2 linked regions of the Lytechinus pictus genome follow. The protein of the gene in region 1 binds, or shares a complex with, the protein of each later gene. Links are inferred from orthologs where the notes say so. Each region holds a gene or a part of one and is shown on either strand. Other genes may lie near its edges.

Region 1 (7,220 bases):
CGTGCATTCTATGTGTATACTATGAGATGTCCCTCTCCTTTAAAGAGAGGCCAATAAACACAGGATATTGAAAAAACACCACAATACACACACAAATATTCTATTTCAACAATACAGAAATGTGCAGAGCGATGAAGATATGGAGGCCCAGAGGGAGAAACATATCAAAACAAAAGTTAGGCTCACCATTGGAAGTGACCTCATGATCTTATCAGAGGGTCTCTCCCCCTCCTGATTGCTAACACCATCCTCATCTTCCTCAGGGCTGGATGCGGTCCGCTGTCTACCAGTCTTCACATGACTTGACATCTCCCTCAGACTCTCATCCAACTTGTGTCGGGCACTGTCAGTGAATTCACAGACACGAAATTTAGTCTAAATACACTCATTACATGAAATTAACAAATTATTTCGTTCCTTCAATAAAGATAAACATAACCCACTCCCCAAAAATCCCCAATATCATCATTTACGGACAATATAACCTCTTGCCAATTTCCTAAAAAAGCTACTATTACAGAAACTTTGGTATCTTTAATGCAACTAGCCAACTACCTTGATAACAATACTTTAATAAATACCTACAAATCAATATCATTTTTCCAGTGAAGTGATGATTTTAATAGTAAAATTTCATACATCGGGCCATTGGGGTCTGTTAATGAAGAGTCACGATAATGGTACCTTTGAGATCCATCTGTAACTTCCTTGGAATCCTAGACTTGAGTGGTTGTTGAGCATTGTTACCATAGAATGGCAAAGTCACAATGATAATGATTGATGATGATGACGATGATAATAATTAATAATAATAATCATTTTGTATACCACAAATTGCCTCTAAGCGGTTAAAAGAAAGGAAATATGAAGTGAAAAAGATGATGACGATGATCCTGACGATGATGATGATGATAATAATAATAATAATCTGCTTTTATATAGCGATTAATACATCGGAACATCTCTAAGCGCTTTACAGATATATTGAAAGTTACAATGACAGTTACTTTGAAGAAACAAGTCTAATAATAAGAAAGTGTCTACATAGTTAAAGCTGTCAATTCATTAAGAAGTCATTACTCATACTTACTGAGAAAGAAACTCATCAAAGAGCTCATCGGGTGGTTCTTTGAGTTGCAGCAACAAATCTACACATTCAGCTAGCTGTTTAGCATCAGACTAGGGAATAATCATTGTATGAAAGATTACACAATATTTGGTTAAAAGCAACAGATCTATACATTGTTTAGCATCAGACTGGAGAATAACTACTACACGTATATGATGACACAATGGTTGGTTAAAAGAAACAGATCTACAAATTCAGCTAGCTGTTTAGCATCAGACTAGGGAATATTCATTGTATGAAAGATCACACAATGGTTGGTTAAAAACATATGTAACATTCTGCTTAGCATCAGACTAGCCATAATAATTACTGTATGAAATTGATTATACAACAGTTGGTTAAAAGCAACAGATCTACACATTGTTTAGCATCAGACTAGGAAATAAATACTACATGTATATGTAAGCGATTACACAATGGTCGGTTAACAGAAACAGATCTACATATTCAGATAGCTGTTCAGCATTAGACTAGGGAATAATCTTCATATGAAAGTGATTACACAACATCGGTTAAAAACAGATTACACATTCAGCTAGCTGTTTAGCATCAGACTAGGGAATAATCATTGTATGAAAGTGATTACACAATGGTTGGTTAAAAGAAACTGATTTACATATTTAGCTAGCTGTTTAGCATCAGACTAGGGAATAATCATTGTTTGTAAGCGATTACACAATGGTTGGTTAAAAGAAACTGATTTACATATTTAGCTAGCTGTTTAGCATCAGACTAGGGAATAATCATTGTTTGTAAGCGATTACACAATGGTTGGTTAAAAGAAACTGATCTACATATTCAGCTAGCGGTTTTATAGCATCAGACTAGGGAATAATCATTGTATGAAACTAGTGATTACACAATATTTGGTTAAACACACGTGTAACATTCTGCCTAGATCAGACTAGCCATAAAAATTACTGTATGAAATTGATTACACAATAGTTGGTTAAAAGTAACAGATCTACACATTAAGCCAGCTGTTTGGCATCAGACTAAGAAATTAATATTGTATGAAAGTGATAACACAATTATTGGTTAAAAGCAACAGATCTACACATCAAGCAAGCTGTTTAGCATCAGACAATGGAATAATAACTATGTAAAAGTAATTACAGAGTAGATAAAATTTAATATATGATCGAGGATTGAATTCAAAGATAATAACACAGAATCTAACAATTTTCAATCAAAATTCCAGGTTGACTTTGCAATCTGAGTAAAGTGTAATGATGTGGTAAATATGGTTACCCGACTCAAAGTGTAAACAGAAGTGCTATTTACAATCAGTTCAAAATGCAGATAACTTTGCTTCTTAATTCCAATCTATTCGGACCACAAATCTGTTTTGTTCAAATGAGAAATGTGCCTTAGAAGAGGTCTATAAAAGATGTGTAGCCTAATCTGGCATGAAAAAATTGGTTTGACCTTGGCGAATATTTGATTCAAGTTTACATGTATTACGGCAAAGTTTTTGCCCAATAATCTAAAGGCCTGGTCCCACTGGCCGAAGGACACAAAAACGTATTCATAACGGATACAGCGGACAAGCAAAATTTTGGGGTGGCTCCATCCGGTTTCATCCACTCCAGACAATGGACAAGATGGGCGAACAATGAAATAACAGTGGATGGATGCTCGATGGATATAGAGCGTATGATACATGTATGCCAAGAGTACACAACGGATACAAAACGTTTTCCAACGGATGGCAAGATTCTTTTCCATTTTACATCATCTCTGCATCCGTAAGTGGAGTGGGACTAAGCCTTTTAAGAATGATAGAACATTTACCTCTTTGTTCCCGAACTGTTCTCTTAACTTGAGCCTTAGTTCATTGACGATTTCATTGCAGTCTCTATGGATACCGTGGAATGAAGGCATGTGCTGGTACTGAAGTAGGACAACACGCGCTTTGGAGTAGTATCTGGGAGAGAAATCAAAGTAGATATACATGTAGACAAAGAATTTGCATCACAAAGTCTACAAGTAGCATATAGATTCAATTCAATTCATTTACATTCTCAAAAAAACACAAACAAACATGAAAAACATACATAAGATATAGAAGTAAAACATTGTTATGACATACAAAAAACATATTTATGAGAATGAGGGGCCAACAAAAAAGAGCAGGTAGCCTTATTGAACGTTGACCCAACATCTATAAAGACAAAAATAATTAATATTCCAAAAACAGATAACATAAATGAAAACAAATATTAACACGTAAATTCAGAATAGCGTAATTATACAGCAAATTAAGAATACAAACTTGAAAGATGTTATTTGTAATAATGTTTGAATGAATTGAAGGTTCGGCATATTTTTAAAGAATATGGTACATTATCCAAAGAATAGGTCCTTCAAAAAATTGAGTTATAAGAAACTGAAGCTCGCATATACATGTATGTAAATAATAAAAACAGGTTACATGGTGGCAAGATTCTTGTGTATGCACTTTTAGAGTAGTATCTGGGATAATTCAAAGTAGATACTGACAAAGCATTGTCATCAGAAATGAATGCAACATATGGGTCATTCTATCTAGAGCCTTGAATTTTGTAGGAATGGGTTCATCAGACCTGAGGTAGTATGACCACATGAATACATATGTGACCTACCACCCCCAAACCACCAATAAGTCGCCAGGTTAGGTTCTCTGTAAATAGCCAAAATAGTAATTTAGTCTCCAAAAAACAAAAATTAGAAAAATGGCTTATCTGAAAGAGCAATTCTTCTTCTTCATACTGTAAAAAAATTGTCGTGAAGTTGTGAAGTTGAATAAAAGAAAAGATACAAGAGTTTCTTGGACACTACTTTTTCGGACTGCTTGTAAGTTTCACTGAGATTACACAGTATGCACATCTTATGCTTGAGTGAACCCAAAACTTCAAACCTTGTTTTCAGCTCTTGCTGAACTTCCTCTGCATTCGATCAAGTACTTGTAATGCTTAGGCGAGGCGTCAAAACCCCAAATGCGTTCCAACGCGTGCATAGCCATTGTTCCATAATGAGAGTGTGCAAAGGAGTTCCAAGAGATTAGTACGAAGTACCGTTATATTCTACATTAAATCTAATTTGCATAATCCGTACACGCTGGGGAACGGGGCAATTATTATCTCGATCGCTATTGGCTAATCCGCCGGAGCGTCGCACGAGAATACACTGAATAGTGCAGGTTCACATACACATACACACACACAGCGCGCCAGCGTACACTTCACATAAAATGAGGTCAGTGTTCGGCGTGCACGTCGGATCAACATTTGCAGCGAAGCTTTGCAGCGAATGCAGCGCGTGAGGTGCGGGCGGATCTACGAGAGGGGGGAATAGGGGTTGCCTGGGGCTAGCTTCCAGTACAAAGTACCAATAAAAAAAAAAAAAATCCGTGTTTACGAGAGTCGCGCAAGCAAAACGGTGGCGGATTAGGACATGCTTTTAAATTGTTTTGAGGGGCGAACGAGTGAAAATATATTTTGTATGCCTTTCGTTATGAACTCCCGTTCTCCATGACGAAATGTAATTGACGAAAGGAAAGTAAAACAAAATAGAGGTAACAAACATCTCAGAATAGTTTGCGATCTATCAGGACATGTTTTAAAATTGATTTTAGGTGTCAACAAGTTAAAATATATTTGATATACCTTTCGTTGTAATCCCTTGTTCTCCGTTAAGAAATATTAAATACGTCTTTTCTCGACGATGTTGGAAACGTAAATAAAACAGAATAGAAGTCACAAACATCTCAGATGGGTGTGCGATCTATCACAACATGTTTTAAAGCTGTTTTTAGGGGTCAACAAGTTAAAATAGATTTGATATACCTTCCGTTATGATCCCCTATTCTCCGTTAAGAAATATTAAAGATGCATTTTCTCGAAAAAGTTGGAAACGTCGATAAAACAAAATAGAAGTTGGTAGCATCTCATATTTATTGGTGATACATATTTTTCGAGGGGTCAACAAGTTAAAATATATTTGATATACCTTTCGTTTTGATCCCTTGTTGTCCGTTAAAAATATTAAATACGTCTTTTCTTGACGATGTTGGAAACGTAAATAAAACAGAATAGAAGTCAAACACATCTCAGATGGGTGTGCGATCTATCAGGACATGTTTTAAAATTGTTTTTAGGTGTCAACAAGTTGAAATAGATTTGATATACCTTTCGTTATGATCCCTTGTTCTCCGTTAAGAAATATTAAATACGTCTTTTCTTGACGATGTTGGAAACGTAAATAAAACAATAGAAGTCACAAACGTCTCAAATGGGTGTGCGATCTATCACAACATGTTTTAAAGCTGTTTTTAGGGGTCAACAAGTTAAAATAGATTTGATATACCTTCCGTTATGATCCCCTGTTCTCCGTAAAGAAATATTAAATAGGTCTTTTCTCGACGATGTTGGAAACGTAAATAAAACAGAATAGAAGTCAAACACATCTCAGATGGGTGTGCGATCTATCAGGACATGTTTTAAAATTGTTTTTAGGTGTCAACAAGTTAAAATAGATTTGATATACCTTTCGTTATGATCCCTTGTTCTCCGTTAAGAAATATTAAATACGTCTTTTCTTGACGATGTTGGAAACGTAAATAAAACAGAATAGAAGTCACAAACATCTCAGATGGGTGTGCGATCTATCAGGACATGTTTTTAAATTGTTTTTAGGTGTCAACAAGTTAAATTATATTTGATATACCTTTCGTTGTGATCCCTTGTTCTCCGTTAAGAAATATTAAATAGGTCTTTCTCGACGATGTTGGAAACGTAGATAAAACAAAATAGAAGTCACAAACATCTCAGATGGGTGTGCGATCTATCAGGACATGTTTTAAAATTGTTTTTAGGTGTCAACAAGTTAAAATAGATTTGATATACCTTTCGTTATGATCCCTTGTTCTCCGTTAAGAAATATTAAATACGTCTTTTCTCGACGATGTTGGAAACGTAAATAAAACATCTCAAATTGGTGTGCGATCTATCAGGACACGTTTTAAAATTGTTTTTAGGTGTCAACAAGTTAAATTATATTTGATATACCTTTCGTTGTGATCCCTTGTTCTCCGTTAAGAGATATTAAATGCGTCTTTTCTCGACGATGTTGGAAACGTAGATAAAACAAAATAGAAGTCACAAACATCTCAGATGGGTGTGCGATCTATCAGGACATGTTTTAAAATTGTTTTTAGGTGTCAACAAGTTAAAATAGATTTGATATACCTTTCGTTATGATCCCTTGTTCTCCGTTAAGAGATATTAAATGCGTCTTTTCTCGACGATGTTGGAAACGTAGATAAAACAAAATAGAAGTCACAAACATCTCAGATGGGTGTGCGATCTATCAGGACATGTTTTAAAATTGTTTTTAGGTGTCAACAAGTTAAAATAGATTTGATATACCTTTCGTTATGATCCCTTGTTCTCCGTTAAGAAATATTAAATACGTCTTTTCTCGACGATGTTGGAAACGTAAATAAAACAAAATAAAAGTCACAAACATCTCAGATGGGTGTGCGATCTATCAGGGCATGATTGAAAAATTTTCCAGGGGTCAACAAGTTAAAATAGATTTGATATACCTTTCGTTATGATCCCTTGTTCTCCGTTAAGAAATATTAAATACGTCTTTTCTTGACGATGTTGGAAACGTAAATAAAACAGAATAGAAGTCAAACACATCTCAGATGGGTGTGCGATCTATATCAGGACATGTTTTAAAATTGTTTTTAGGTGTCAACAAGTTAAAATAGATTTGATATACCTTTCGTTATGATCCCTTGTTCTCCGTTAAGAAATATTAAATACGTCTTTTCTTGACGATGTTGGAAACGTAAATAAAACAATAGAAGTCACAAACGTCTCAAATGGGTGTGTGATCTATCACAACATGTTTTAAAGCTGTTTTTAGGGGTCAACAAGTTAAAATAGATTTGATATACCTTTCGTTATGATCCCTTGTTCTCCGTTAAGAAATATTAAATACGTCTTTTCTTGACGATGTTGGAAACGTAAATAAAACAATAGAAGTCACAAACGTCTCAAATGGGTGTGCGATCTATCACAACATGTTTTAAAGCTGTTTT
Region 2 (7,602 bases), on another chromosome or scaffold:
GGAGCATATTGTAAACAAAAAACAGAGTTGAGAACTTTGTTCGAAATAATTAGAAATATATTATTGTTTCTGAATGTTATAACAAAAATGTTTTTCAGATACTCAAATATACAGAGATATGCAATGATAAAGGAACAAAAATTCGAGGAAATGTTTTTTTTTTCTAACCTCGATTTCCACTGGCAAGACTTGAGCTCTGATCATCATCGCTTTGTGATGATGTACTGACTGCGGATGGTCTTCTATGTTGCTGTAGTTTCTACAAGAGACAGAGAGAGCAATACAAAGAGATCAAAGCATATCAGTTCCATAATTAAAAAAAAAGTAGAGTTAACATCTAGACAAGAACAGATATTCCAACTATCATATTATTGGTGGCAGATCCCCACTTTGAGTTAACACATGTACTTCACAAAGTCTCCCCACCTCACTTGAGTTTGAATATATTGTAGTTGGCCCTAGATGTGCCTGTAAATCTCAACTTTTTCTCCCACCCAATATCAAAGAATCTGCATCATTGTATCATTGCCTAATTCAATGAGAGAGCTCTTAAAATATCAAAAGTGACCTCTATCCTCAAGACATTGTGCTTTGTGCTACACGGTCTCAAGTTTGTTGTATTACGGTGTTTCTCAGCGGAAGAATCTCTGTGACATGAAGAGATGCTTTGGGTAGGGCACTTTGCACAAAGATAATTTTCTTTACATCAAACCCTGTTAAAATACAATAAAAGATTTGAGCAGGCTTGTACACACAGATCTATACGAATGGTGTATCAAAAATTATATTCATATCGAGTAATTTCAAACAATACTATAAAATGCAAGGAATTTGATGCATATTTCTTTTAATTTTTTTTTTCAAAACTGTTTAGACGACCTCCATCATTTTTAAGCTTGAAGAACCCAACAGCTTTCTTGCAGATATACATCATTCTTACTCTTATACTTATTTTTGTATATTTTGGTAAGAAATATAAATAAGTGCATACTTACATATGCCACCTGCCTGAGATATTTCTCAAAGTGGATTCTTGAAATGCGAGGGACATACGGAGAGGAGGGAATTTCACTCTGATCCACGAAGCCTTCACCCCACGTCTTCGTGAAGAAATCTGTTTCCCTTTTGACCTTTCTAGGGTCATTTAAGACAGCAGGTAAGTTGACCACAGATGACAGGGGTGTCCATTTTTGCTGAACACTGACCACTGAGGGAGCTACTGTCATAGAAGGGGCGTCGCTATGAGCTGCAGATTTTAACCTGTTTGCTAAAGCTGGAAGGTGTTATTAAAAATACAATGAGAAAAGTTATTGATTGTTAGTGTAAATTTGTAAATAACATACATGTACAATGATATATTTTAGCAATGGCGGTAAATAGTAAAAATAAATAATGTAGAAATTAATGCTTTCATCTTTTACAAGATTTGTAAAAGTTCTATCAAGCAAAATCAATTAATAGTAATATAATCTTAATGTGAAATAATACATAAATGTTATTGTATTTATATTGTTAAAAATAAGGCTAGACAAGGTGTGGGCAGACCAGTGGTACTGCTCACCCTATGATGTATAAACCATACTAATGTCGAGGATGGTGTAGATTTCCAAGCAAGACTGCTATGAAGATACCTAACTAACGAGAAGGATGAAGGACTTGAACTGGAAGCACGACTGCTGGGATCATCAGCATTCTTCCAGAATCTCAAGTAAAGGTAAATAATGTTTCAAATAATTCAATTGATGAAAATCCCAATTTCCCAACCACATGCATCCCTGCTAATTTTTTTTACAGGTTGAAATAAGTATTCCTCACTTTTCTTACACAAGGATTTGATCTTTGAAAACCACTCATGACTGACTCAATGAATAATAGTCTGCTGGCATGAATCGCTAGTGGCTTTATAAATAAGGCAAATGCATGTACACAATATGCAGTACATAGTTTAAAAGGGTAAAGCCACATTGCAGAATACTCTACTACACTCTAAATCAGTAGTAAGAACAAGGAATAATTTTCCTGGTTTTGCATCACCATTTGCTCCTCTCTTTTTAAAGACTGCTACACAAAAAATGCCTGGTCAGATTTGTAGTAAAAAAGGACTTCAGATCATAGAGGTAGCTGAGAGAGTTTTATGACTTAATTTTGCAAAAATTGTTGTTTTGCAAAATTATTCCCTACAAAGTGATGTGATTTACCTTCATCCATCATATGGTCCCTTGCAACATGATATTCATAGTCTACATCACTCACTCCATCCACAGGCAATGTTGGGCAAACACCATGAAGTCCATAACGGCAAACAAATGAACCACCCTCCTTGGTACAATGTTTATCCCGTAAATGTTTGAGAAAATCTGTTTGAGTTCTAAATGCAATACTGCATAATGCACATTTCCGCCAAGGTATAATCTTTGGATTTTTACTTGTTCTTGCCATCATTGTAGTTCTTTCATTTCCTTGCCTTAAACGTTCATGCGTCTGCTGCTGCTGTGCAGAATATGACGCTTTGATTTCATGAAGATTTGATATGGAATGGTCGCTAGATGATCTACTCATTACATCATTAACTGATAATTTGTCATTGATTCTTTCACACACTTGCTCAATTTCACTATTTGAAGTATTTCTCACGCTTGACCGTAAATTCTGCTCTGTTGTTGACAGGCCCGCTTGTCGTCTGTTTCTCGCGCCGGTAGCCTCCTTTCGCCTCCCCGGTGCCTCCCCATCGCTGCTGGACGAGTGAGACCCCAGGCCCAGCGAGTAGCCAGTGGAAGTGAATGACGGATGTGATCTGGACGAAGGAATTGAGCGACGTCCGGAGCTCATTTTCGTGTAGAATACTCCAGATACTATATGAAAAAATGATGGCTAACTATTCTGATCCATGAAACAAGGTGGAATATTGTTTCCTGCAAACTAAAATCATTTTTCACAGGCGTATCTCTGGCATAGAAAACGTCGTACCTGTCCACGTAACAGCTGTCTATGACAATTTATACACAAATAGATCGTAACGATATATCAAATTGGCAAAACATGTTTGATGTGAGTTATACTATTTCATGTATTTATTTTTTATTAATTATAAATTTTAGAATTAAATGTTATGTAAATAAATATATATAATAAAATACTATAAATTGATTAAACAAAAATTGTATACGCTTTATTTTGTTTGAAATTGTCGATTTTATTGCCAATCAGTAAAATGTGAATTATCAATTTGATTGTACTCTACCTTCAAAGCAAAAATCATATATCACACCATAGAGATATATACTAATAACGTATACATCTCACACATAATGATCTTTAAGGTACGATCTTTAAGCCTATGCTAGTGCCTCATTGACGGACAGTCTTAATTTTAGTATTTTGTTTTTTCATGGCAAACTGTTCCCATGCAGTCAACCACTTTTTTAAGTTTCTATTGACAGCCGATCTGGGGTTTCAGATAAAAATTTGAGCATTCTTCATCCATATATGATGCAATTTTTTTTCCACAAAAACCTGGCATTTGTATTTAATAATAATAGTTTGGTCTGTTAAAAAATCTGTACCATTCATATCTTATATAAAAATTGCCCCCAAAATAGAAAAATAAATGTTCTTTGTGATCTATTTATCTACTAATGTATTTAATTATTCATTATCTAGAATTTCAGTCATTTATTCATCTATTGATTATTTAATTAATTACTCAAAAACTCAAATACACACACACATTTAATTAATTAAGCAATATCATCAATCTATTTATTTATCATTTAAGCTTCATTCAACTAGTTTCGTTTCCGATTTACAGATTATGAAGAGACAACATAATAAAATAAATTGAATAAGGAAAGAACAAAGGACGTTGTTGTTTGTTTGTTGTTGTTTTAGTTGAATGTGAGTGCGCTCCTCAACCTGTAGTAGGTTCTACAGGTTTCTTAGAATTAATTGATGTCTTCGTCAAATAGCACATTCCATATTGACAGAGTAAATAACCCGCGTGATAAATTGTTCGTGGAAGAGGCAAGCTAACCAAAACGGTTAGTTGCATATACATAAAACACAATAATTCACGTATATAATCTGGGTTAATTTAATTGCTTAATGTACATGTTATTCAATTTCATTTTTTTTTCAACAGAGTGCGTCTCTTTTTTAAAAAATATTTTGAACAAATAAATATAATGTTTGATAGTTTCGAAAACTTGATATACCTCACAGAAGCCTGACAAATACTGTTTGTTTTGAAATATAATAGTTTAATCGAATAAACGGGGGGGGGGGGGTAACACTGAATAACGTATTCTTAGGCCTATATCTGTCTGAGAATTTTAGAAAGATATATATAAAAAAAATTACAGATATATATTAAAAAAACAAAACATGGATGGATACATACTCAATGTTCTTTGACGTGCACAAGTGTGAAACTCTATTCAGAGGAAAATTGGATGGAGGAAAAAAAACCTCTACATCAAATTGCTCTTATGACTTAACTTTTATTGAATGGTTACACCGTTAGAGAAAATAAACGCAGATAAAAAAAATGTTTATCTCGAAATTAAAAAAAAAATGTCATAAGGAATATCAAACTTATATTGATATAGAGATATAGTTCTCTATCATATTATGCTAGAATGATTATGAAACACGGTCATAACAGCCGGGCATAAGAGGAGTAATGCATAAATTTCCATCCATGTAGGCCTATTAAAATTTCGGAGGTGTGATTATACGGAAAACATCTTAAGAAATAATCGCAAAATCGAAATATTCTTTTCACTCATTTTCATTCAAGTAGAAATTTATTCTCTTCCATTTTCATGAAATATATATTTTTTTCAATATAAGTTATACAAAATAATTTGTCATAGAATAAAAATACATAAGAGATTTTTTAATAACAGAAGATGTCGTAATTCCCTAATAGCAAAAACTGTAACACGCCTCTAACAAAAGTACAATACAAATATGCAAGAAGGGCCAGGAAAGGGCTGAGAGAAGAAATACAAGTTAAGTGAATTGCCTGTTACAGCAAACGAAATGCCTGTGAAGGACGGCGGAAGAATTCGCAATGCAAATTTAAACTGCTAGAACTAGAAACACAAGCCACAATCTAAATTCATAACTGTCATATACTCATTAATTTTAAACCACTCATTTTTTTGTTCGGCTCAACTACCTTTCGATGTTCAAAGTCCATTTTACCAAATATGAAATTGTTCATACTCATTCACGCTTGTTGAACTTTCATACTCCATAATCTGATTAAAGCAAGTTTTCGCACAGCCACGCCGAACGAATTCGAGAACATAGTAAGCGGTAAGTGTACTGAAAATGCCGGTCAAATGACAATTAACAGCTGGGAGGTATTTGTCGAAAATTAGTGAAGCGGAACAGCAGATTCGTCCTAAGTTCCGGAGCTGACGAATATTGCACTATATATGTCGTTTGTCCAGAGTCCAGAACAAAACTGCTGTTTTGATTCTCCAGCATCTTTAGACAGTTGCTAAGTACCCGGAGGGCATTTGACAATATAGGCCCATATTATTTTCTATTTTCTTGAAAGCGTTGTGCGTAGCGGTGAGATTGAGAGGCTAGAGACACGCATATAGTCAGACCTATCATGCATCTAAACTCAACACTGTGCTCTAGTTCAGGTTGAATTTTGATTTGGATGCCCAATATCTCAAGTCGGTGAAGCTACCTGAATTGCATTCTGATTTCTCTCTCTCTCTCTTAATTCAGTATCACGTATGTGACGATGACCCTTTTCTCTGTTAGGGGATACACGGTTTCGTGGCCCTTAGTTGGTAGCCTGATCGCTATCCTTATTGGGTAAGTATGAGTTTGTAATATTATTGGTAGAATCATGTATGGACCAGTAGGCTTACGTATAGAAGGTTATTAACCAGATAAATTCATTATTTTCTTCTTTGTGAATACCATGCTGTACCTAGAAACGAATGATCCAGCAGGATGCATGCAGCAGTAATGTATGTAGGGTGGGGGGGGGGGCACTTGTCAATTGTACCACTTTAGGGTGCTAAAAATGAGTAGGGAGCTAGGGTGGGGGTATAGTAGGAGATACTTCAACCGGAGAAGACGCAAGGGTAAAATTGAAAGAGGGCAATTTCACTACTTGCATGCCCACTGCGAGATCTGTTGGACTGAAAGGCAGCACTGTAGCTTGTCCTTGGAACATAATTTTCAACTTGCAATGTTGTCAATAGGTCTGTTCTTCTATGATATTAACAAGTAAATTTTAAAGTTATAATCATCGTTGTTGCCTCATAGACATAACGATTACGACCACAATAACATTTATTGAAATCATATAATTAGGGTAGCTAGCCTATATATCAAAATGATCATTAAAATGATAATGTGTCAAAGACTGCGTTGTTGCGTCAGTTAATCAATTGAATCAACTCACTCAGACATAATACAGTATATCTACGATTTCTTTCGTATGAAAAGTCATTTAGGGCTTACATATTCTGTCTCCTCTTGCTAGGATATGATTCTTCATCATCTAATTCAATGTGTACATTTGTTTTCCTTCAGACGTGAGATATGGAGACTGACCTACTTCAAACGACGTGGGATCAAAAGTCCTTCTGCAAATCCTTTGTTCGGCAACGCTCTTCAAATCATGCAGGTATATAGACATATTTAGAAAAAAATATATAGCACACACGTCATTATGCACATTGTAAAAAAATGATTACTATATATTTGGGATTTTGTGGTTGTTCATATAACAGACACCAATGACAGATGTTTTTTTACATTCTCTTTTATTTATTTTTTGACATTTTTAACCTTTCACCTCATTTATGTGACAAATAGTTATTTTTATAAATAATGAACATAATGCGCCAGAAATGATATTTATCTCGTTGTTTTTTTCTTTCGATTTTGTTTAGAGTGTTCCTGGATTCTTTTTGAAATGTCAAGAGAAATTCGGCACAGTATTTGGGTGTGTATATCAGTCTATAGATGTTGAGTGTATGCACACACTATAGGTCATAGTTCAAGATGAAAAAAGTATGTAGTCAAAATGCAAATTGAAAAAAAGTAAAGATGTCTTACTGTTTTTTTTTGTCTGTTTCTTTATGTGTTTGTATTTCGCTCCTTTTAGCAGTATTTCAGTCTGAACTTAACTCTTCACATGCTGAATTGATTTTGGGGGTTAATAATGACAACTGTTTCAATGCTATTTTATTTGAATGAAGACTTCTGCATTGTATCACTGATACTTATGATTATTATATAGATGTTATCCAAGAACTATTGTAATTTATAAGCTTTTCTAATATGTATGTCAATGAGAAAACTAATTATTACCATTGTTCAATTTATTTGTACGAATGTGCAAAATTGCAACATCAGCGCGCAAAGAGTTAATAATAATGATTATGCAAAATGCAATAAAGTATCCAGGGATTCTAAAAGTGGAAAGGGGAGAAAATTTTTGAAAATCTGAAAAAAGGGTCTTGACTTGCACGGCTGTTTCCACGAAAAAAAACTTTTCAAGGCTTACAAGGGGGGGGGGGGGGCACAGGATAGTTTCCACCCCACCTGGGTCCGGCACTGAACATA

The links.
Region 2: vacuolar protein sorting-associated protein 51 homolog (region 1) and vacuolar protein sorting-associated protein 54-like share a complex: the UniProt entries of both Homo sapiens proteins name them as parts of the golgi-associated retrograde protein (GARP) complex. The link is inferred for Lytechinus pictus from reciprocal best matches to the Homo sapiens genes VPS51 and VPS54.

Annotation. Positions count from the first base shown.
Region 1 is NC_087256.1:24,417,675-24,424,894, reverse strand, and holds the start of vacuolar protein sorting-associated protein 51 homolog, read right to left. Parts: upstream 3,055-7,220; 5' UTR 3,014-3,054; coding exon 2,924-3,013; intron 1,180-2,923; coding exon 1,091-1,179; intron 344-1,090; coding exon 187-343; intron 1-186. UniProt on the Homo sapiens protein: Acts as a component of the GARP complex that is involved in retrograde transport from early and late endosomes to the trans-Golgi network (TGN).
Region 2 is NC_087251.1:34,989,589-34,997,190, forward strand, and holds the start of vacuolar protein sorting-associated protein 54-like, read right to left. Parts: upstream 3,016-7,602; 5' UTR 2,830-3,015; coding exon 2,199-2,829; intron 1,274-2,198; coding exon 996-1,273; intron 260-995; coding exon 169-259; intron 1-168. Other genes in the region: cytochrome P450 3A24-like, read left to right, coding at 5,762-5,835, 6,565-6,658, 6,927-6,979. UniProt on the Homo sapiens protein: Acts as a component of the GARP complex that is involved in retrograde transport from early and late endosomes to the trans-Golgi network (TGN).